3 linked regions of the Macaca mulatta genome follow. The protein of the gene in region 2 interacts with the protein of the main gene of each other region in a biochemical or structural test. Links are inferred from orthologs where the notes say so. Each region holds a gene or a part of one and is shown on either strand. Other genes may lie near its edges. The genes, in order: SREBF2, HNF4A and NCOA6.

Evidence for each region.
Region 1: the proteins of HNF4A (region 2) and SREBF2 form a complex in vitro, tested with the Homo sapiens proteins (2 studies listed by BioGRID and IntAct). The link is inferred for Macaca mulatta from reciprocal best matches to the Homo sapiens genes HNF4A and SREBF2.
Region 3: the proteins of HNF4A (region 2) and NCOA6 form a complex in vitro, tested with the Homo sapiens proteins (2 studies listed by BioGRID). The link is inferred for Macaca mulatta from reciprocal best matches to the Homo sapiens genes HNF4A and NCOA6.

The regions. Positions count from the first base shown.
Region 1 is NC_133415.1:9,624,877-9,631,182, forward strand, and holds part of SREBF2 (sterol regulatory element-binding protein 2), read right to left. Parts: intron 5,838-6,306; coding exon 5,616-5,837; intron 4,288-5,615; coding exon 4,173-4,287; intron 4,084-4,172; coding exon 3,902-4,083; intron 2,402-3,901; coding exon 2,209-2,401; intron 1,686-2,208; coding exon 1,504-1,685; intron 1-1,503.
Region 2 is NC_133415.1:97,261,689-97,267,994, reverse strand, and holds part of HNF4A (hepatocyte nuclear factor 4-alpha), read right to left. Parts: intron 3,667-6,306; coding exon 3,514-3,666; intron 2,480-3,513; exon of another isoform or gene 2,477-2,479; coding exon 2,334-2,476; 3' UTR 1-2,333. UniProt on the Homo sapiens protein: Transcriptional regulator which controls the expression of hepatic genes during the transition of endodermal cells to hepatic progenitor cells, facilitating the recruitment of RNA pol II to the promoters of target genes. Activates the transcription of CYP2C38.
Region 3 is NC_133415.1:87,524,533-87,530,838, forward strand, and holds part of NCOA6 (nuclear receptor coactivator 6), read right to left. Parts: intron 6,041-6,306; coding exon 3,059-6,040; intron 1-3,058. UniProt on the Homo sapiens protein: Nuclear receptor coactivator that directly binds nuclear receptors and stimulates the transcriptional activities in a hormone-dependent fashion. Coactivates expression in an agonist- and AF2-dependent manner.

The sequences.
Region 1 (6,306 bases), about 88 Mb from region 2:
CTAAGGTGGCTCTATCTTTTCCGTCAGAAGTATCTGAAACTTGAAGATTCAAAAGGAGGCAGGTGTTCCCTGGCTCCTCCCCTGCCTTTCCCTCAAAGGTGCGCTATTCCCAAGTCCCAGTCTTTGGCTCTCACCCCTCCTGACTCCCCAGTCCAGTTCTCCCTAAGAATCCTCTCCTGACAGACAAGCTTCTCAAATACTCTGGCCCCGCCACTCCTCCATCCCCATGGCCTGCCTCCCAATCACTGCTCACTCTACAGAGGCCTCTTCCAGCTTTTCCAGGCAACATGGCCTAGATGGAGTCCACTCCATTTTGGAGCCTCTCTTACCCTTGAGTCAATGTCACTATCACTTCCCTTCCAAATACTACATTTCAAATATTTATTCAGTTCAAACTTTTCCTTTTAATTCCAGGTCCTTGCCATCATCTCTTAGTCAGCCTATTTCATAGAGCCCCCTGACTCAGCCAGGCGTGGTGGCTCATGCCTATAATCCCAACATTTTGGGAGGTCAAGGTGAGAGGATCACTTGAGCCTAGGAGTTTGGGACCAGCCAGACAACATAGTGAGACCTTGTCTCTACTTAAAAAAGAGCACCCTAACTTGTTTCCATGTTCCATTCATTTCACATCTCCCTTCTACCTATCCTTCACAGCCACCAGAATGATGCTTATAAAACACACACCTGAACCTGCCTCTAGGATATACATCTTGGGATGTTATGCTCAGGGAACAGGCCTCTTAAAATCACATCTACATTCTGAGACCCGTAGCCCCAGCAAGGCTGACAGATCCAGGATGGCCAATCAGATTCTCACTAATGGCTCTGCAGCTTGCAGAGGTGGGGAGGGCATGCCCATGGCTCACTGCTGCTGAGGAGTGTTCTGGTTCTTGTTCCTCTTAAAATGTGGATGTTTAACTCTTCCTCAATGCTGTGAGTTGCCCCAGAATTTTTTCCATAAACTCCCTGTTGATTTCAAATGAAAACTTTCAGCTAGTTTTCCTGCTCAAAAACCTTCCCTGGTTCTATAAAGAATTGGGAATAAAGCCCCAAATCAGTTCCCAGTGAAAGCCCTCTCCAATTTGGGCCTAGACACACTACCAGCCTTTGCCTTCAACTCTCTGTGACACACCCTACACTTAACATACCCTGGAACCTGCCAGTCACCAAATAGCCTGTCTATTCATGCCTTTGGGTGGGTCCTTCGGCCACCTCCGCCCTTCCTTCCTGCTCTTGGCAGCCCCGATCAAGCCCTGGAACCCCTCCCTCAGAACCCAACTTTATTATTCCTCTGTCATACCAGAGACATAGATCATCTCATGTCCCTGGAATTAATTATCTATGCAGAGGCGCCCTCTCCACTGCCCTGTGACTGTTCAGCAGCAGGGTCCCTTTTTCCTTTCAGTTACCACAAGTATCTATCATAGGACTTTCTTCGACATGAGTTGCTGAATTATTGGTCAAGTCTAGGGGAGGATGGGGAAGGGCGGACACAGAACTCACTCTGGCGAGATCCAGGTCTGCCTGTTTCCGGTGCCTCCAGAAGGTGACCGAGGAGCGGGAGTGTGGCCGGATCACTGGCTCCCCATGGACCAGCAGCTTCACAAAGACGCTCAGGACAATCACACCATTTACCAGCCATAAGAGAAGAGTAGGCATCATCCAGTCAAACCAGCCCCCAGAACCTAAGAAGGAGTGTCTCAGCAGAGCCTGCCAGGAAAGGCCTTGCGGAACAGCCAGGCACCTGACAGACCCCAGCACTATCACAGGAACGAGTCTTCTACCGTATTTTCAGAAGAAAGGGTGAATAATTCTATAATCTAAACGGGGCTAATGACTGTAGCCCTTGTCATTATGGAGCTGAGTGCCACAAAAATCTTTGTTAGCTTGAAAGGGTTAAGGCATTGGTTTTGCAACCTCAGGTAAAAAACACCATATCCTCCTTCAAATAGGTACCACCCCTCCACGCCAGGGTATTTAGAGTAGTGTGGGTCCCTGATTTGTTTTGCTCATTCTGACTGAACTTGGGCTTGCCTTGTTACTTCCAAAACGGAACTTATGCCAGTCCCTATCAGAAGCAAGCAGGTAGGGGCCCACTATAAAACCCCTTTGGGACCTGGTAGCCAAGCCAAGAAGTTTGTACACAGGGTCCTTCTCCTGCCATAGTGGTCCAGCCATGCCCAGGTGGTGTAAGGGGCCACCACTTACCTGACTCAAATGACAGGACACTGCGGCCAGAGCCTGAGTGTGGGTGCTGGTCAGAGTCGTGAGCCCCTCCCCACTGCAGCAGGGAAGTCAGGGGGTTAAAGGAGAGGCACAGGAAGGTGAGGACACACAGAAGAATCCGTGAGCGGTCTACCATGCCCAGTGCCACAGGAGGAGAGTCCGGCTCATCTTTGACCTTCAAAACAAGGCCTCGAGGTTGGAATAAATACTGCATAGGTTTTTACAGCACTTTATAAATACATATATATATTGAGAAATGGTTATGAGGTTTAAATTCAAGTCTATTAACTCAGGACTAAGGCCAGATGGGAATTGAGAGGCCTATAATTCACTAACTGCTGCTCAAACATTGGCACATTCACCTGCTTGCTAACTGAGAAAAGTACATGTGCCAAAGAACAAAGGTAGAAGAGATTTTCTTTTAAAATAGAGCTCTACCACAAAAGAGAACACACTGTATGATTCTGTTTCTGTATAATTCCAGAACAGGCAAAATGAATCTAAAGTAACAGGAAACTGATGAATCAAGTAATTGTCTGAGGCTGGAGAGGGGTGTGGGAAACTACCTGCAAAGGTGTACAAAAGAGCTTTTTGGGGTGATGGAAATGTTCTATATCTTGATTATAGTGACAGTTACATAGCACTGTACATTATGTTAAAACTCTTGGTACTGTACATTTAAAGTAGGTATATTTTATTGCATTTAAATTATACCTCAATAAAGTTGATCAAAAATCATATTTAGTGTGAATCTATCTAAAGGATATTTTACCTGTTCTAAAACAGTACCATTGTCTACACCCACCCCACTCTCCATTTTAGAGCAGGAGGGCTGGAGCCAGATCTCCCCTGTGCCCCAATGTGTATATAGCATGTCATTTCTTTTCAATATTTTAAAACCATTCTTCTGATGACTCAGAAGCCGAGCTAATTCAATTTATATGTCAAACAGCCTGTTGTTGCCAAACAGAATCACATCTATAAGAATATTTCAAAAACAGAGCATCCTTAGTAAAATTAAGTATGTGATACAATAAACAGCTTAGTCAAAAACAAACACTAGAAGGGAACTTTGTGCTTACAGAGTCAGAAACTGCCAAAGTCAAAATACAGTACAGAACCCAGTGGTCTCTACAGGTTCCCAGGAAGATCATTAGGCTCAGAGCCTCTCTTAAGTAATTCCATTAAACTACCATTGCCAGGGGCTTTCTTGGACGATTAAAGGCCCGTAGATAAAATGTTATCTGTTAGACTGCAAATTGTAATCATTTCTGAAAAGAGGACCCAGAGGCAGCCTCATCCTAAACGAATTGATCAGCCTCCCAAAGTGGTCTTGCCAGGCCCATTAAAGGCAGAGTGAAGCAATGAGGTGCCTTCAGCAGCTCCCAACGCCCCCACAACAGCTACTCCGCATTCCTGTTCTGGATCTGGCACTCATTACTCTCTGACGGGGCCTATTAGCAAGGACCAGTTAAACCTGAGGGACTGTTTCCCCCCAGAGTCAGTTTTCTTTTTCTTTATTCTCCAGCACCTGGTTAATTTCACAGAATTCCTGTTTCTCTCCAGGCTAGGCCCTCTGAACATGCAGCCTGGCCTCATAACTGTGACCTCCCAGCTACTTTCTTAGGGGAAATGGGAAAGATTCCAAGGATCAGAAGATTTCAAAAGTCTGTACCTTTGCATCATCCAACAGAGGGCTTCCTGGCTCAGAGTCAATGGAGTAAGGAGAGAAGCCAGCCTGTGACCCTGAGTCAGAGGCTGGGGGGGACATCAGAAGGACATTCTGATTAAAGTCCTCGATCTTCAGGTCCACCTCAGTGTCCACCAGACTGCCTAGGTCGATGCCCTTTAGAAGCTCTGCAAAGAAAACCCCACCTGGTGAAAATGATCTGCCTTTACAAAGCCCTAGCCGGGCCGGGGGACAACCCTGCTCTCAGCACACTTACTGTTCTTTTGATTTGCCAGCTTCAGCACCATGTTCTCCTGGCGCAGTTTATGATTGACCTGCTGCAAGTATTTGATGTAATCAATGGCCTTCCTCAGAACGCCAGACTTGTGCATCTGGGTAGGAAGATAAGCAAAAACACAGTGAGACCAGTGCAGGCTACAGGGTGAAAAGAGCAGAGCCCTAGCACTTGGGATGACAGCATGGCTCTGTGAGGGGAGAAACCAAGTTCAGATGCTGGCCCTCCCAACGATTAGCTGTGCCACTCGGGAGAAGTTACTCCATACCTCTGAACCTCACTTTCCACCTCATTAACACAGAGATAATGAGAGTCCGTGAATCACAGGCTTGCAGCCTGGCTAAATCAGATAATGAGTGTAAAGAGCTTAGCCCCGAGCCTGGCAAACAGTTGACACTCAATAAATATTAGCTATTGTTCCTACTTCTTACAATAATCCTAGCATAAAAACAAACTTTAAGGAAAACAAATGACAAAACACCACAGCATTGTTGGACAGCTATCTTTTTTTTTTTTTTTTTTTTTCCCAAGACAGAGTTTCACTCTTGTTGCCCAGGCTGGAGTACAATGGCACCATCTCGGCTCACTGCAACCTCCGCCTCCCAGGTTCAAGCAATTCTCCTGCCTCAGCCTCCTGAGTAGCTGGGATTACAGGCGCCTGCCACCACACCTGGCTAATTGTTTGTATTTTTAGTAGAGATGGGGTTTCACCATGTTGACCAGGCTGGTCTTGAACCCCTGCCCTCGTGATCCACCCGCCTCAGCTTCCCAAAGTGCTGCGATTACAGGCGTGAGCCACAGCACCTGGCCTGGACAGTTATCTTAAGGCATAGATTTTTACTTAGGATGCATACTTTTCAGATTTGTAGGCAACAAGGAAAATAATGAAATTTTCTTTCAAAATAGGGTTTAAACATAGATAGGTTTTAAAAATAAAATCTCCTACTTTCCAGAAGACACATTCAGTGAAAACACCAGAAACATTTGGAAAATCAATTTCCTCTATTTGTTGCTGGTCAAAGACTCAACCTCTTTTTTCTTTCTTTTCCCTAAAAGGTAACCCCTAAACACAGCTAAAACGATGCCATCAGCTGACTCCAAGGCACACACAGTCCTGTATCTGGAACTACTGAGTGGCAGGCATCTTTCTCTGCCTCTGACAGTGGAGTCCCCCATCACTGCAGAGCACAGCCGAAGGAGTCAAAGGTCTCAGTGGGTCACTGCCTCATCAACCCTCACCAGTACCCTTCTGGTTTTTAATATTTTATAATCTTGACACAATACCAAGATGCTTTAATAAAAAAGTACCTCTAACTTGGTCTTGTATTCACTTACCTTGAGTCTGGGACTTCTCTAAGCTCCTGAAGCAAAAACAGGTAGAGGGGACATGGTGGAACATAAAACACGATTTTGCTTGGCACCCACCTTGGCGTCTGTCCCCATGACCAGGTCTTTCAATTCGATGATTTTGTCATTGATGGAGGAGCGATATCGTTTCTCAATGATATTGTGGGTTGTCCGCCTTTCTCCTTCTTTGGGGGGCTCAAGCTGCTTGACTCCCCCAGGTACCTGCTTAATGGGCACTTTCTCTTGCCCCATCATTACAGGCATTGTGGTCAGAATGGTCCCACTGCTGCCCACCAGGGTCTAGAATAGGCACAGGTACAGAGCAGAATGAACCCTTTGTTAGTCTGCATAAAGCAACCTCAACACAGACCTGCCTACCCTGGCCAAGTGTTGCCAGACCTGGCAGTACTTCATGAGGTCTAAGACTCTTCCTGAGTTAATCAAATCAGGCCCCAAGACGCCTCAGGAGCCACGGCACCTCGGTTACTACCTACCTTCAGAATCAACACTGATAAACTACACAAGAGGATTAACATGGCTAAATATGTTTTAAGTTTTGATCTAGGTATGCCAGAAACAAGTCATGATTTCTGCTGTGCTGTCAAACTGTTAACCACTTCTAAACTTCTACACGGTGAACCACGAGTTGGTACCGGAGAAAACTTCCTCCTAGTGTATGACACATTTTTTCCTCTCAAATGACAATTAAGCAAATTACTGCATTTCTTTATACAATTTCGCCATCAAAAAGCTTAAGGGCAGAAGTGAC
Region 2 (6,306 bases):
GCCCTCTGCACGCCATGGCACATTCTTATCTCAACCTTGCTCCCGTGACAGAGGCCTGAGCAACGCTGGAGGGAGGAGGTGGAGGAACAGAGTGGGAATGACCACAATGCCGGGAAATGGTTCCAGCCTCCCTGCCTTACCGCAGACCAGGCTGAGCTATCTGGAGGAGATTTCAGGGGCACTTGAATGAGGTGGTGGAGGAAGGCTAGGGAGCTTTGAGCAGGGCACAGTCTCTCCTGGGACTGGGGGTTTGGCTGGGACTGCTGTAGGGATGCGGTGATTCCTCTCTGACACTCGCCCCAATACTTCTCCATGCCTCTTTCTCATAAAAAACAATCACTAATGGTGGGATTTCTGGGCACTGGGGCACTGCCTCCATCCACTCAGAGGGGTCAGTGTTGAGCGGGGGGCAGGAGTCGGTCCAACAGTTTCCCTCCTACCTAATCACACCTCCAGCCCCAGGACACATCCCTTTTGTTCACACTGGTCAGTGGCATTTTCCAGAATGTCCCCAAAGACACCAAGATTCCACATGGATGACATGCTGGATGCTCCATCCTAGGGTCCAGTGTTTCCAGAATACACCTGGAGTGACGATCTCCAGAATAGGCCTCAAACCCGGGCCTGCTTAGCCCTCCCGTGCCCCCACACTGCACACACTGTCCCACCCCCATGCCAACAGGCCAGATGAACCTGACTCCCAGGAAACAGACCCCTGCCACCCCTCCCCTAGACTTGGGGAGTGAAGAGAGAAAAGCTCTCAAGAGTTATGAATTCTCCTACATATTTATCAGCAAACAGGATACTCGACCCTAAGTGAATTTTAGTGCAGCCTCAGGCCAGTCTTGGTCCTGGGAGTGGGCAGAGTTCCCAGAAGAACGAGTCCGGTTTCTGAGGCTGGAGAAGGGAGCCAGAAGCCCCCCAACTTGATCACAGTGAGAACAAAGGGAGCCTTTGGAAAAGTTATTCAGCCACTCTCGTTAAGAGCTCCTGTTCTGATCCAGGGAGACCTGGGTTCAAGTCCTGACTCAGCCACTTCCTAGTTGTGTGAATTTCAGAAAAAAAAATCACTTCACCTCTTAGAACGCAATTTCATCTTCTGTAACAATCTCTAGGTTAGGAGGGGCGGGTAAGTGTGGGGAGGGAGGAGGAGAATAAAAAAACAAAAACAATCTCTAGGTTAATAGGGAGGAAGGGAGGATTAAATGAGATGATGCATATCAGATGCCTTAAGACAGTGCCTGGGAGTAAGGAAGAGCTTGAGACAGGCCCTGGGAGATCATTCCTCCTGGATGTCACTCTGATGTGAGAGTTTACCCATCTTGTCCTCTCCAGCCCCAAGCCTCATTACTCTCACCCGCATTACATCATCCACCCCACCTGACCTCCCAGCTCCCAGCCTCCCATCCTCTACAGAACTGCTGTGTTCATTTTCTGGAAGCCCAGCTCCCTGCATACCCCTTGCCGCTGATCAGGGCCTCAGCCTGGTATTCCAGACCCTATGCTCTCCAGCAGGCCTTCTCTCTCTTCATCATCCCTTTCCCACACCATTCTTCCTCAATTCTTGCTAGATTCTTCCTACCACGAGGCCTTGGCTCAGGCTGTTCTTTGGAATGTCCCGTCTCACCCGCTCTACCAGCCAGAAGTCTACCCTTTCTCAAAGGCCTAGTGGATGGTCTGCCTCCTTCTGATGCTTTTCCTCTCCACTCCAAGTTCCTGTTGCAGTTGCCAACCTGGGCTTGTTTTCTCGGGTTGAAGGTCTGCAGAGATCCTCACCCCAAATACCCACCCAAGTCCCTGAAGAAGGAGGGTGCGGTGGGGCTGGAGGAGAAAGGTGTCTTCCCTCACCACAGCCTTCTAGACCCTGCCTGGCCCCAGTCAGTGCTTACAACATGCTCCCAGAATGACTGGGGGAATCGTTTTCAAGGCCTCCTTGGCCTCTGGAGAGGTGGTGCTGGAGAAGACGGGATGGCTGAGCAAGGCGACAGCAGAGGGAAACGGGCGTTTGACGTGGGGGCAGCAGCAGAAGGAGGAGCGAATGGATGAAGGTGAAGGTGAAGGCAGTGGCTTCAACATGAGAAAAGTTGTCCAAGGCAGTAGAGGACTTTCCAGTGGCGTCTTCCCAAGTGAAAGTCTCGTTATCCAGAGCAGAGTGTCAAGGGTGGCAGTGGGATGTGGCCCTTAGGCCATGTTCTCGGGCCCTTTATCCTTCCCATTCCTGCTCTGGGACTGGTCCTGGCGTCACGTCTTCCTTTGCCGTGACCACGTGATCACCAGGCGTTCTCTGAGGGGGCTGGGGGGAGCCAGCGGAGCCCCCAAGCCCCAGCGGCTTGCTAGATAACTTCCTGCTTGGTGATGGTCGGCTGGGGGATGGCAGAGAGGGGCTTGACGATTGTGGCGACGGCTCCTGGCAGGAGCTTGTAGGGCTCAGACCCTGAGCCACCTGGCGGTGAGGGCTGTGGGGTCTCAGGGGTGGCTGGAAGGACAAACAGACAGATAGGAGCTGCTCAAAATTCCAGCCTTTGTGGGAGTAAATGAAGAGCCCTGGGAAAATTCTCCCCCCAACCCCCAGCCCGCCCCGCCTTGACTTAATTTCTTCCTCTATAAAATGAGAGAATTAATTAAACCAGATAATCCCCAAGGTCTTTTATGACTCAACCTTCTGTGAGTCCCAGATCATAAAGCCTAAGTTTTATGAGGTCTGGAAGGTCCCACCACCCATCTCCTCCATCATTTATTTGATATGCAGACTTGAACTGCTTCTCTGAAACCAAGGCCCAGGCCTGGCTGTCACCAACGGCAATGGGATGGGTGACAGGGATATTCTTTCCTGGGAGAAGGAGCCAGCAGCTGATGAGACCCAGGGCCAACTGGCTCAAAAAATACCATTTCTTGGATATTTAGGACATGAGTAATAGAAACTGGCCTCACTCTCATGGCAGGTTTGGAGAGCAAATTTGACCCAATTGGCAATCTTTGTTCAATGGACAACTTTCTCCAAGAACAACGTCAGTAAAATATCATCTCATCTCAGTGGATCACTTCATCCCATTGATAATCTTATTCTTTGAAGAGCCTTGCCCAATGACAAGTTTACACTTTGGAGGTTTCAGAGGATGGTCTAGTCCAGCAGACATCCTGACCCAATGGATAGTCTCATCTAATTGTTTAATGGATAGCCTTACCCAATTGAGCAGCCTTACGTCAATGATCACTTTTACCTAATGGACAATGTCAACTAATGGGATTCTCACCCAAGAACATCTTCACCCAATAGGTTACTTCATCCAGTGGATTGCCTCATCCCAACAATGGCTTCATTCAGTAAAGGTTGTCAGTCACCTTACTGAATAAACAGCCTCAACAAACGGACAACCTTGCCCTTTATTCCCTACCCTGGAACCCAGAAAATTGTTGCATCCTGGTTCTACCTTCTAGACTCCACCTTCTCCTGCTTCCTCTCTTAAGCCCCATCCTCACCCTTTGCAAGGTAGAGCCCCAGAGGTTGCCCACCTGCCTGCCCCCTGGGTCGGGGCCACTCACACATCTGTCCATTGCTGAGGTGAGTGGGCATTGTGTTGGCAACGATGACATTGGTTCCCATGTGTTCCTGCATCAGGTGAGGGTGCAGGGGGTGGTGGGCATGGGGTGCATCGCTGGAGGACCCTGCAGGAAGAGAAGATCGATCAAGATGAAGAGTATGGGATGCAGACCTCAGGCCTTGGGACGCCATCTTCCTCAGGTGTGACCAATCAACCTGCCCATCCAATATTGGCAATGCCTGTTGGGGACCTATTCCTGGGTTAGTAAACTAGGGTGTACCATTCCCATTCGTAGGCTTCATGAGGGTGTTAAGAAGGCCCCAAAAAACCAAGAGAACAAAAGTGAGTTGAAAGAAACAAGGTGCCTATAAGGAAGCTCTGAGATCAAGTAAATGTTCTAATGAGTAGCGTATTGGATGTAATCAATGGCTCTCAAGGCTCCTTGGCGTGCAAGTCCTTCAACCATTTGGTCCCGCCTCACCTTCCAGCCTCATCCCCCACATCTCTGCTGCAGCCAACTGACCTACTTATAGCATCTATGTGTCCCCTGTGTTTTCCTATCTCTATGCTTCTGCTCACGTTGTAGCTTCCGTCAGAGATGTTTTTTCCACCCCAAACCCGCTCCACGTCCATAAGCCCAAATCCCAGCTCATATATTTCCTCTCTTTAGAAGCCTCTCCTGATTCTCCTCGTTCTCATTCCTTGGATTTCTCATAGTAATTTATCTGTAACACAACTTTTAGGAACAACTACTTCTTCTGTCTATGAGCATTACAATTTCAGATGTATTTTTCTTCTTTCTTTGAGAGCCTAGCAGATTGTCTGGAACACAGTAACCGCTTTAAACATGTGTCAGGGAGTAAAAATACCACATGGGGTATGGTTTAATAATAGCCTATGGTGAGTAATATGACAATGATGGAATTTCAATGCTTGTAAGAGATCTCTACAGCACATCGATCTCAGTGATAAATAACGACTGTTGATAATTAACAATTATCATGTGCCAGGTACTGTTGTATAGCACTTTTCATGTTTTACATAATTTAATCCTTACAACAATCCTATAGAATGGATACTATTATTAGCCCATTCTACAGATGAGACAACTAAGCCCAGAGCTCTTAACTATTTGGCAACAGACCACAGGCTCCTGATCCTAATCTCAGTGACACCTGATTCATAGTAACCCCATGTTCACAGGGTCAAAGTGAGAATGAAATAAGCTATCACACAACAGTGGTTCCCAACTGGGGATGATTTTGGCCCATCAGGAGACGTTTGACTATATCCGAAGACATTTTTGGTTGTCACTACTGGAGAAGTGCTACTGGCACCTTATGGGTACAGGACAGAGATGCAGCCAAACAACGCACAGGACAGCCCAGCACAACAAAGAATCGTCCAGTTCCAAGTATCAATAGTACCAGTGTTGAGAAACCTCGCCCTCACTGAAGCACCTCCAAAATCTCGAATTCAACATCCCTACTTTGACTTCACCTTGTGTCCTTCCAGCTCCCTTAATCTAGTACCATCACTGCAAAACTTCTTCAGCCTACTGAGGCTGTCAATTCACCGACACTCTCTTTTCACTATCACCCCATCCTTTTGTTGTTGTTGTTGAGACAGAGTCTTGCTCTGTCACACATGCTGGAGTGCAATGTCACAATCTCGGCTCACTGCAACCTCTGTCTCCTGGGTTCAAGCGATTGTCCTGCCTCAGTCTCCCGAGTAGCTGGGATTACAGGCGCATGCCACCACGTCTGGCTAATTTTTTTTGTATTTTTAGTAGAGATGGTGTTTTGCTGTGTTGGCCAGGTTGGTCTTGAGCTCCTAGCCTCAAGTGATCCACCCGCCTCGGCCTCCCAAAGTGCTAGGATTACAGGTGTGAGCCACCGCACCCAGCCTCTGTCTTTATTTCTCTTTGAGTGCAGCCCAGACTGCATGACCTATCATTCTAATCACTCCCTTGCAGTCATCCTAACTCCTTCATACTCCCCTTCACAGTCAAACCATTTCAAAGGGTTATCTACTCTATCTCCACCTTCCCACTTGCTGTCTTTGGAGCACTCTCCAATCTGGTTTCCACTCTCCCAGCTCTCTGAAACTGCTTTCAACACAATTGCCAAGAGCCTCCAGCTGCCAATCCAATGGACTCTTTCCTCTCTCTTCCCCTCCTCCCTTCACCTCTCCATTCCTCCCTCCTTCTTTCTGTCTCTCTGCAGAGTGTAACACCATTAAACACTCTGTCCTTCAAACACGCTCTTCTCTTGGATTCTGGAATTGCCCTGGTTTTCTCCTACCCCTCCGGCCATTCTTCTTCCCTTCCCTCCATGGCTCCATCTTCCCCCGATTCCACAGAGCTGCCTTTAATCTTGTGCTTGAGCAGCAGACTCATACATTCAACTGCCTCCTTGGCAACTTGGACTTGTAATAGTCATCTCATGCTTAATGAAAGTCCACAATGAGGCTGGGCATGGTGGCTCACACCTGTAATCCCAGCACTTTGAGAGGCCAAGTCGGAAGGATTGCTTAAGACCAGGAGTTCAAGACTAGCCTGGGCAACATAGTGAGACGTCGTCTCTATAAAAAATAAAAATGAAAAATTAGCCGGGTATGGTGGCACACACCTGTAGTCCCAGCTACTCGGAAGACTGGAGGATCTCTTGAGCCTGGAAGGTTGAGGCTGCAGTGAGCTATGACTGCGCCACTGCACTCCAGCCTGGGTGACAGAGAGAGATCTCGTCTCAAAAAAAAAAAAAAA
Region 3 (6,306 bases), about 9.7 Mb from region 2:
TTCATATGTTATTTACTTATCTAACAAATAGTTGCGAAGAACTTACTAGGGGCAAGACACTGTGCCAGGTACCCTGAGAGACCAAACTACATCCTCTTGCACATCAGGAACTCAGTCTAGTATTAAAGATAAGATACATACATGTGGTGCACTTGAGTGCACTCTGATTTCATATGAAGGAGTCACAAAGTATAAAATACTACAAAAGTCCAAAGCAAGGGTTAGCAATTCTAGGTTGAGAAATCTGGAGGCACATTAAAGGGAGAAACATCAGAATCAGGCTTCAAAGGACACAGAGAACTTAGGCCCTTAAGGAATGGAATAAAATACATAATGCACTCTAGAAGGGAACCATCCTGGAAGATACAGTAAAGATTATGGCGTGGATATGCCACAGTCACATCTTGACACCTCAGTCTAAAATCCTAGATAAACTCTGCGACAATACGTTTTACTCTCTTGTGGAAACTGTGAATTTTGTATATTTTTCTCCCTGCTTATTAAAGCAGTAAATTAGGCATTTATGTATAAGAATTTATTTTGGATGCTCATCTGATAAACCTTAAAACTGTATCTTAACTTCTACTTTTAACTTTAGTGTTCATTTCTCAAATTTCCTTTTCTTTTTCTTCTGAGACAGACTTGCTCTGTCGCCCAGGCTGTAGCACAATGGCAGGATCTCGGCTCACCACAACCTCCGCCTCGTGGGTTCAAGCAATCCTCCCGCCTCAGCCTTCTGAGTAGCTGGGACCACAGGTGCATGCCACCATGCCCGGCTAATTTATATATATATATTTTTGTAGAGATAGGGTTTTGCCTTGTTGCCCGGGATGGTCTCAAACTCCTGGGCTCAAGTGATCCACCTGCCTCAGCCTCTCAACATGCTGAGATTATAGGCATAAGCCACTGCGCCTGGCCAATTTCTCACATTTTCAAAGTAAAAGCACAGAAGTCCCTTGAAAAAGAATAGAAATAATCACTTATAAGCAAAGTGAGTATTCTTAACTAAAATTGAGAACTTTTTCCAAGTGTGGTTCATCTCCTCAAGGCTCACATATTTCTCTAGTATAATATATGATCCAGATAAAAAAAATTTCTAATTACTTCATCATTTTTCTCTTGATACCAGAGGGAAAAGTCTCCTGAAAGGAGAAGTGGAAATATTTAATTAATAGTGAAGGATATACTTAATTTACAGCAGGTTCCCTTTTAATTATTAAGGTTCATCTACACCAACAGAACTAGAACAAGATAGAATAAGCACCCAGTCTTGTGAAGACTGTCTCCTATAAGAGCAGCAAACTCCTTGAAGGCCTTTATCCTGCCCCCATATCTCTAACACTGAGGTCAAGAGGCAGAGAGAAGGGGAAATAACCTTTCCAGAGCTCGGTGTGAGGCAGTGTGTTGGCCACTTGACAAACTTTCTCATTGAGTCCTCTCTCAGAATCCTAAATTCTGGGAGGTAGAATGTACAATCTCCATTTTACAAGTGAAGTACATGGCTTAGGAGAGGTTAAGGAATGTATCAACTGTAACTGGTAACCAGTGGGCTAGAATTTGAACTCTGATCTTACCCTGAAGCTTGTGTTCTTTCTGCCTCTCCACCTGGGTGCTTACCACTCAGTGGTAGGCACTCGAAGCATTTTAGCTGCATAAATAAGATAGGCACTTAATTAGCTGGCCTAGGATATTGCAAAGGTCTTTCTCAGCTCTAGCAGTGTGTGACTGACTCCACTCTGAGGAAATAGAGCTTCTTCACTTAAGCCTCACAGGAGGAGAATCATGTAGGGGAAGGGAAGAAGGGAAGGAGGGGCGGTTGTAAGGACACCTATGCTTCCATCATTAGCCCATTTTAACAGTACATAGGAAATAGCCTGAACTAGATACACGCAAATGGAATGCACCAATCAACAAAGAGATTACATAAAAAAAAAACTGGGAATAACAATTTTTACCACTTATTGAATAATTATATGCTAGGTTCTGTGCTAAGAATGTTATATGTACTACCTTATTGAATTCTTACAACTATTATTGTTCCATATTACAAAGGAGGAAACCAAAGTCTGGAGTGGTCAGGTAACTTGCCCAAGTCCACAGAGCTGGTAAATGCTGGTGTTATAATACCAACCCAAGCCTACAGGCTCTTGACCACTTTGTTTCTGCCGTGTCCACTATCATGAAACCCAGTTTTCTTCTAGCTCTCCTCTAGAGTAGCCCAGACAAAAAAAGAATGGTTCCTGAGATAGAGTACAATGAGAATGAGGACCCATTGTTCTGAAAGTCATGAGCAAATCTTCACCCTGGTAAAGAGAATCTGCAGAAGCTGCTGTTCACACGTAAGGTACAGTGTTAAATGGGAGGTTCACAGTATAGACTCTGAACAAACACTGAACTTCTTTGAGCTTCAGTCTTCTCACCCATACAATGGGATTAAGAATATCTGATATGGTTGGTATAAAGATGATGCAAGACAACATATGTAAAAATGCTTCCTTGTAAATTGAAAAACTTTTATATAAATGAAAGGTGTCATTATTTCAGGAGCTCTTTGTTTTGAGAGCCTTAGCTCTCTTTGTTTTTTTTTGAGACAGAGTCTCGCTCTGTTGCCCAGGCTGGAGTACAGTGGCGTGATCTCGGCTCACTGCAACCTCTGCTCCCAGGTTCAAGCGATTCTCCTGCCTCAGCCTCCTGAGTAGCTGAGATTACAGGTGTGTGCCATCATGCCTGGCTAATTTTTGTATTTTTAGTAGAGATGGAGTTTCACCATGTTGGCCAGGCTGGTCTTGAACTCCTGACCTCAAGTGATCCGCCCGCCTCGGCCTCCCAAAGTGTTGGGATTACAGGCATGAGCCACCGCACCCGGCCCTTAGCTCTCTTTAATGAATGCAAACTTAACATGGGATTTAAAAGCATATTTTCCAACGTACTTTCAATAAATAAAACTACTTCCATTTAGCCCACTCTCCTCCAAGTAAAAAACGAGTCATGCTTTCTCTTGTGGGATTAGGTCATCAAAAAACTGACACAAAGAGATGATGAAGCCCCAAGTACATACCTATGCTGGGTAGAAGTTCTGGATGGGATCCCACCTTCTCCTCCACTAGGCCACCCGCAAGTGGCTCAGATGCTATGCCACCATGATTGCTTTTTGTGGTCGTTACGGCAGAGATGAGCTCGGAGGGTACCAGAGTGGTTACTATCGAGCGTACACTGGTGGGGAGAGCACCGCCAGGTAAGCTGGGTCCTGCTGAGGCAGTGCCCGGGCCCACGGGGCTAGAGGTCATTTTTAGCAGAGTGGGTGCTGGGGGCGTTGGGGTTTTACTGTCCAGCTCTGTGGGTAACTGCTCTGTTCCCACGAGCCCCGGAGCTGTGGTGTCTAGCCCTTGGCCTTCAGTCTCTCCATCTGCACCATATTGTTCTTCCCCTTTCTCAAGAGAGCCTGTAACTTTCTTACACGCCTTGGTCAACAAAATTTGGCCAATTTTGTCCACTTTTCCTTTGCCCTTACTAGACGAGACTGGGCTTCGCCGGTTGACAGAGGACCCTGGACTATTGGTCAAAAGGGGAGAAACCATTGTGGTTGACTGTGAAGAGGGAAGAGTGTTCTGATCTGCTGAGGTGTTCACCTGAGGGCTAGCCTCATCTGGATTCAATTCTTTCACTTGCTGGACAGGGGGATGAGGAGGGACTACTGGAGAAGACGTACAAGGAGGGGAAGGAAGCTGAACAGGGGTGGCTCGTGAGCTAAGGACCAAAGGTCGACCTGTCTGGATGTTTGGAGCAGGACTACTGGAGGGAGCATTAGGCGGTACAGGAGCAGAAGAAAACTTTATGTTCTGAGGTATGTGTAAAGGGCCAACAACTGCAACAGAGGGCGGCATCAGGCCAGAGTTGGTTGTCAGTGGGGCTGCAGGAATTGTGCTTGGCTGTGATCCTTTCATAACCTGAATTATTGAGGATGAATTGATAAAGACAGGTGTAATGAACTGAGGCCGGGCATTAGACTGAGCAGCTGACTGTCCCTCAGAAACCATAACCTTGCTACCCACATTGGGCATTGTGACAACTGTTGACATCAATGCAGACTGCAAGTGAGTTGGCAAAGCTGCTGATGTATTAGCTGAAGTTGTGATGGGATTGGAAGTGACAAATACAGTTATTTGATTTGGGGGCAAAGGAGTGGAAATGGAGGAAGAGCTAACAGGTCTTGACATTACTGGAGGGATGCTTGGTGCAACGTTAGAACTGACCTCACTCAATTCGGGATGCCCAAGGGTTGAACACGGCTCATTACTGTGAGGTAAGTTTAGGGAATTAGAGGGTTCTTTAGAAGAAGACAGATCCTGCAGTGTGGGAATGACAGATGCTTTTTTGAGGTCCTCCCCAGAAACTACTGGAGGTGTTACTTCCAGATCTGTAAGCCCAGGGGGTTTAATTGTCACATTGGGAGCTCCAGAGTTGTCAAGAAGTTGACTTAACGATGTTGGTGCTTCCCTCATAGCAGGAGACACCAAATTTTTGTTCTCTTCGACACTGGGAAGTTTGTTAGGATCCGAAGGCTGCCCATCCTTTTTGGATTGATCTTCAGGGACAACCATTTTAACTTCTTGGGCAGGGACTGCTTTTAGTTCAATGTTTACCTGTTCCTTCCTACCCTGGGAATTCTGGCAATCACTGTCCTGAGGCACATTCAAGCTCTCCTTGTTATCCTCAACAACACCCCCAACTGCAGCCACAGACACAGTAGGATTCTGAGGATTCAGCCCACTGTTGTTAGGAAAGCTCCCAGGTACAGGGGGATTGGCCAGAGGAGCGGGACTGACCAATACATTTCTCGGCAACTCCACATTCTGCAACAGGGCTGCATTTGTCTGAGAGGCCAGAGTAAGTTTAGGGGCTTTTGAATTTTGCCTCCCGGGGCTTGGAGTGGTTTTCCTACTGGCCCCAGGACTAGACCTGCGACTGTTGCTTGGACTTGCCCGTTTTGTTGCTCCAGAATTAGACTGCTTTCCAGAATTCACTACCACAGAATCTAATTTGTGAGTTTGTGGGGCAGCAAAATTGGAAGGATTCATGGTAAGATTTGAAGGTGCTTGCCCGATGGCCTTCAAAGTTGTTGGATTTAGGCCTTGTTGATCAAAGCCCCTGTTTAAATTTGGCCTAGGAGGTAAAGGAATATTAATCTGTGGAGGGAAGAGTCCTGCTATGGAAGCATTGAGTCTTTCTGGTGACAGACTGATTTCTGAAGGTTCTGTGCTGGGAGGGCGGTTGTTGGGTGTCTGAGGATAATAGGGTCTGGGGCTGGCTCTGTTTGGTGTTTTGGGCCTAGATGTCTGGGTTGGCGCGGCCACATTTGGAAAGTGGTGGCCATGAGAGCTGGGCAGAGAATTTACAGGGGGTTGCTGGGGAGTTGCACCTTGAGTTGCTGAAAGGGGCGATGGTCCAGGTTTTGGCCCTGTCATCATTAACTGATTCTGGGGAAGTACTACATGTGAAGGCATGTTGTTTGGGCCTCCTGGGACAGATGGTGCTTCACTGCCACTTGCTTCAGGGAGCGAGGCCATCTCCGCCAGTGGCGAGCTGGAAGGATTCTGCGGGCTCTCCTGATAGACCATTTTCCTTGAATTGCTTCCCAAAGGAGTATTCACAGGCATTGGCATTCTTTGTTTATCAGGTGATGGTGGCACGGAGGCAGGTCCTTGCAGACTGACCATGACAGGCACACTGCCACTCTGTTGCATGGGCATTCTCTGGGAGTCGGGGTTCAGGGGGGCCCTTGGAGGATGGACACTTTGAGAGACTGGAAGCCTAACTGATTTGGGATCCTGCTGCATCATGAGCATCATCATCATTTGTTGCTGCTGCTGCTGCTGCTGCTGCTGAGACTGTGGCTGACTGGGAGGTGGTGGCTGCTGCTGCTGAGGCAGTTGTGGCTGTGGCTGCTGCTGTGGTGGCTGTGGTGGGGGTGCCACATGCTGCATGAGTTGAGGAGGCATCTGCTGAAGTGGCCTCTGTTCAACTGGTTGAGAAGGATAACCTAAAACAAGCCCCCCAAATCAGGGAAGTTAGATTTTTCAGCAAGAAAATGTTGCTACCTTTAGAGTATAGCCAAGCAATACTCATCTAGGTGGCACAGACTATGCACAAACAGCTCAGGCATGCCCACTCCTGGGGCAGGGGGCAGCCCCTCATTACTTGACATAAGCAAAAGGGGCACAGTGCTTAAGGAAGCAAAAAGCAAAGCATCAAAAAACCTGGAGCTCCTTGGTGTGTAGGGTCTGAATGAGCCATGACTGTACTAAG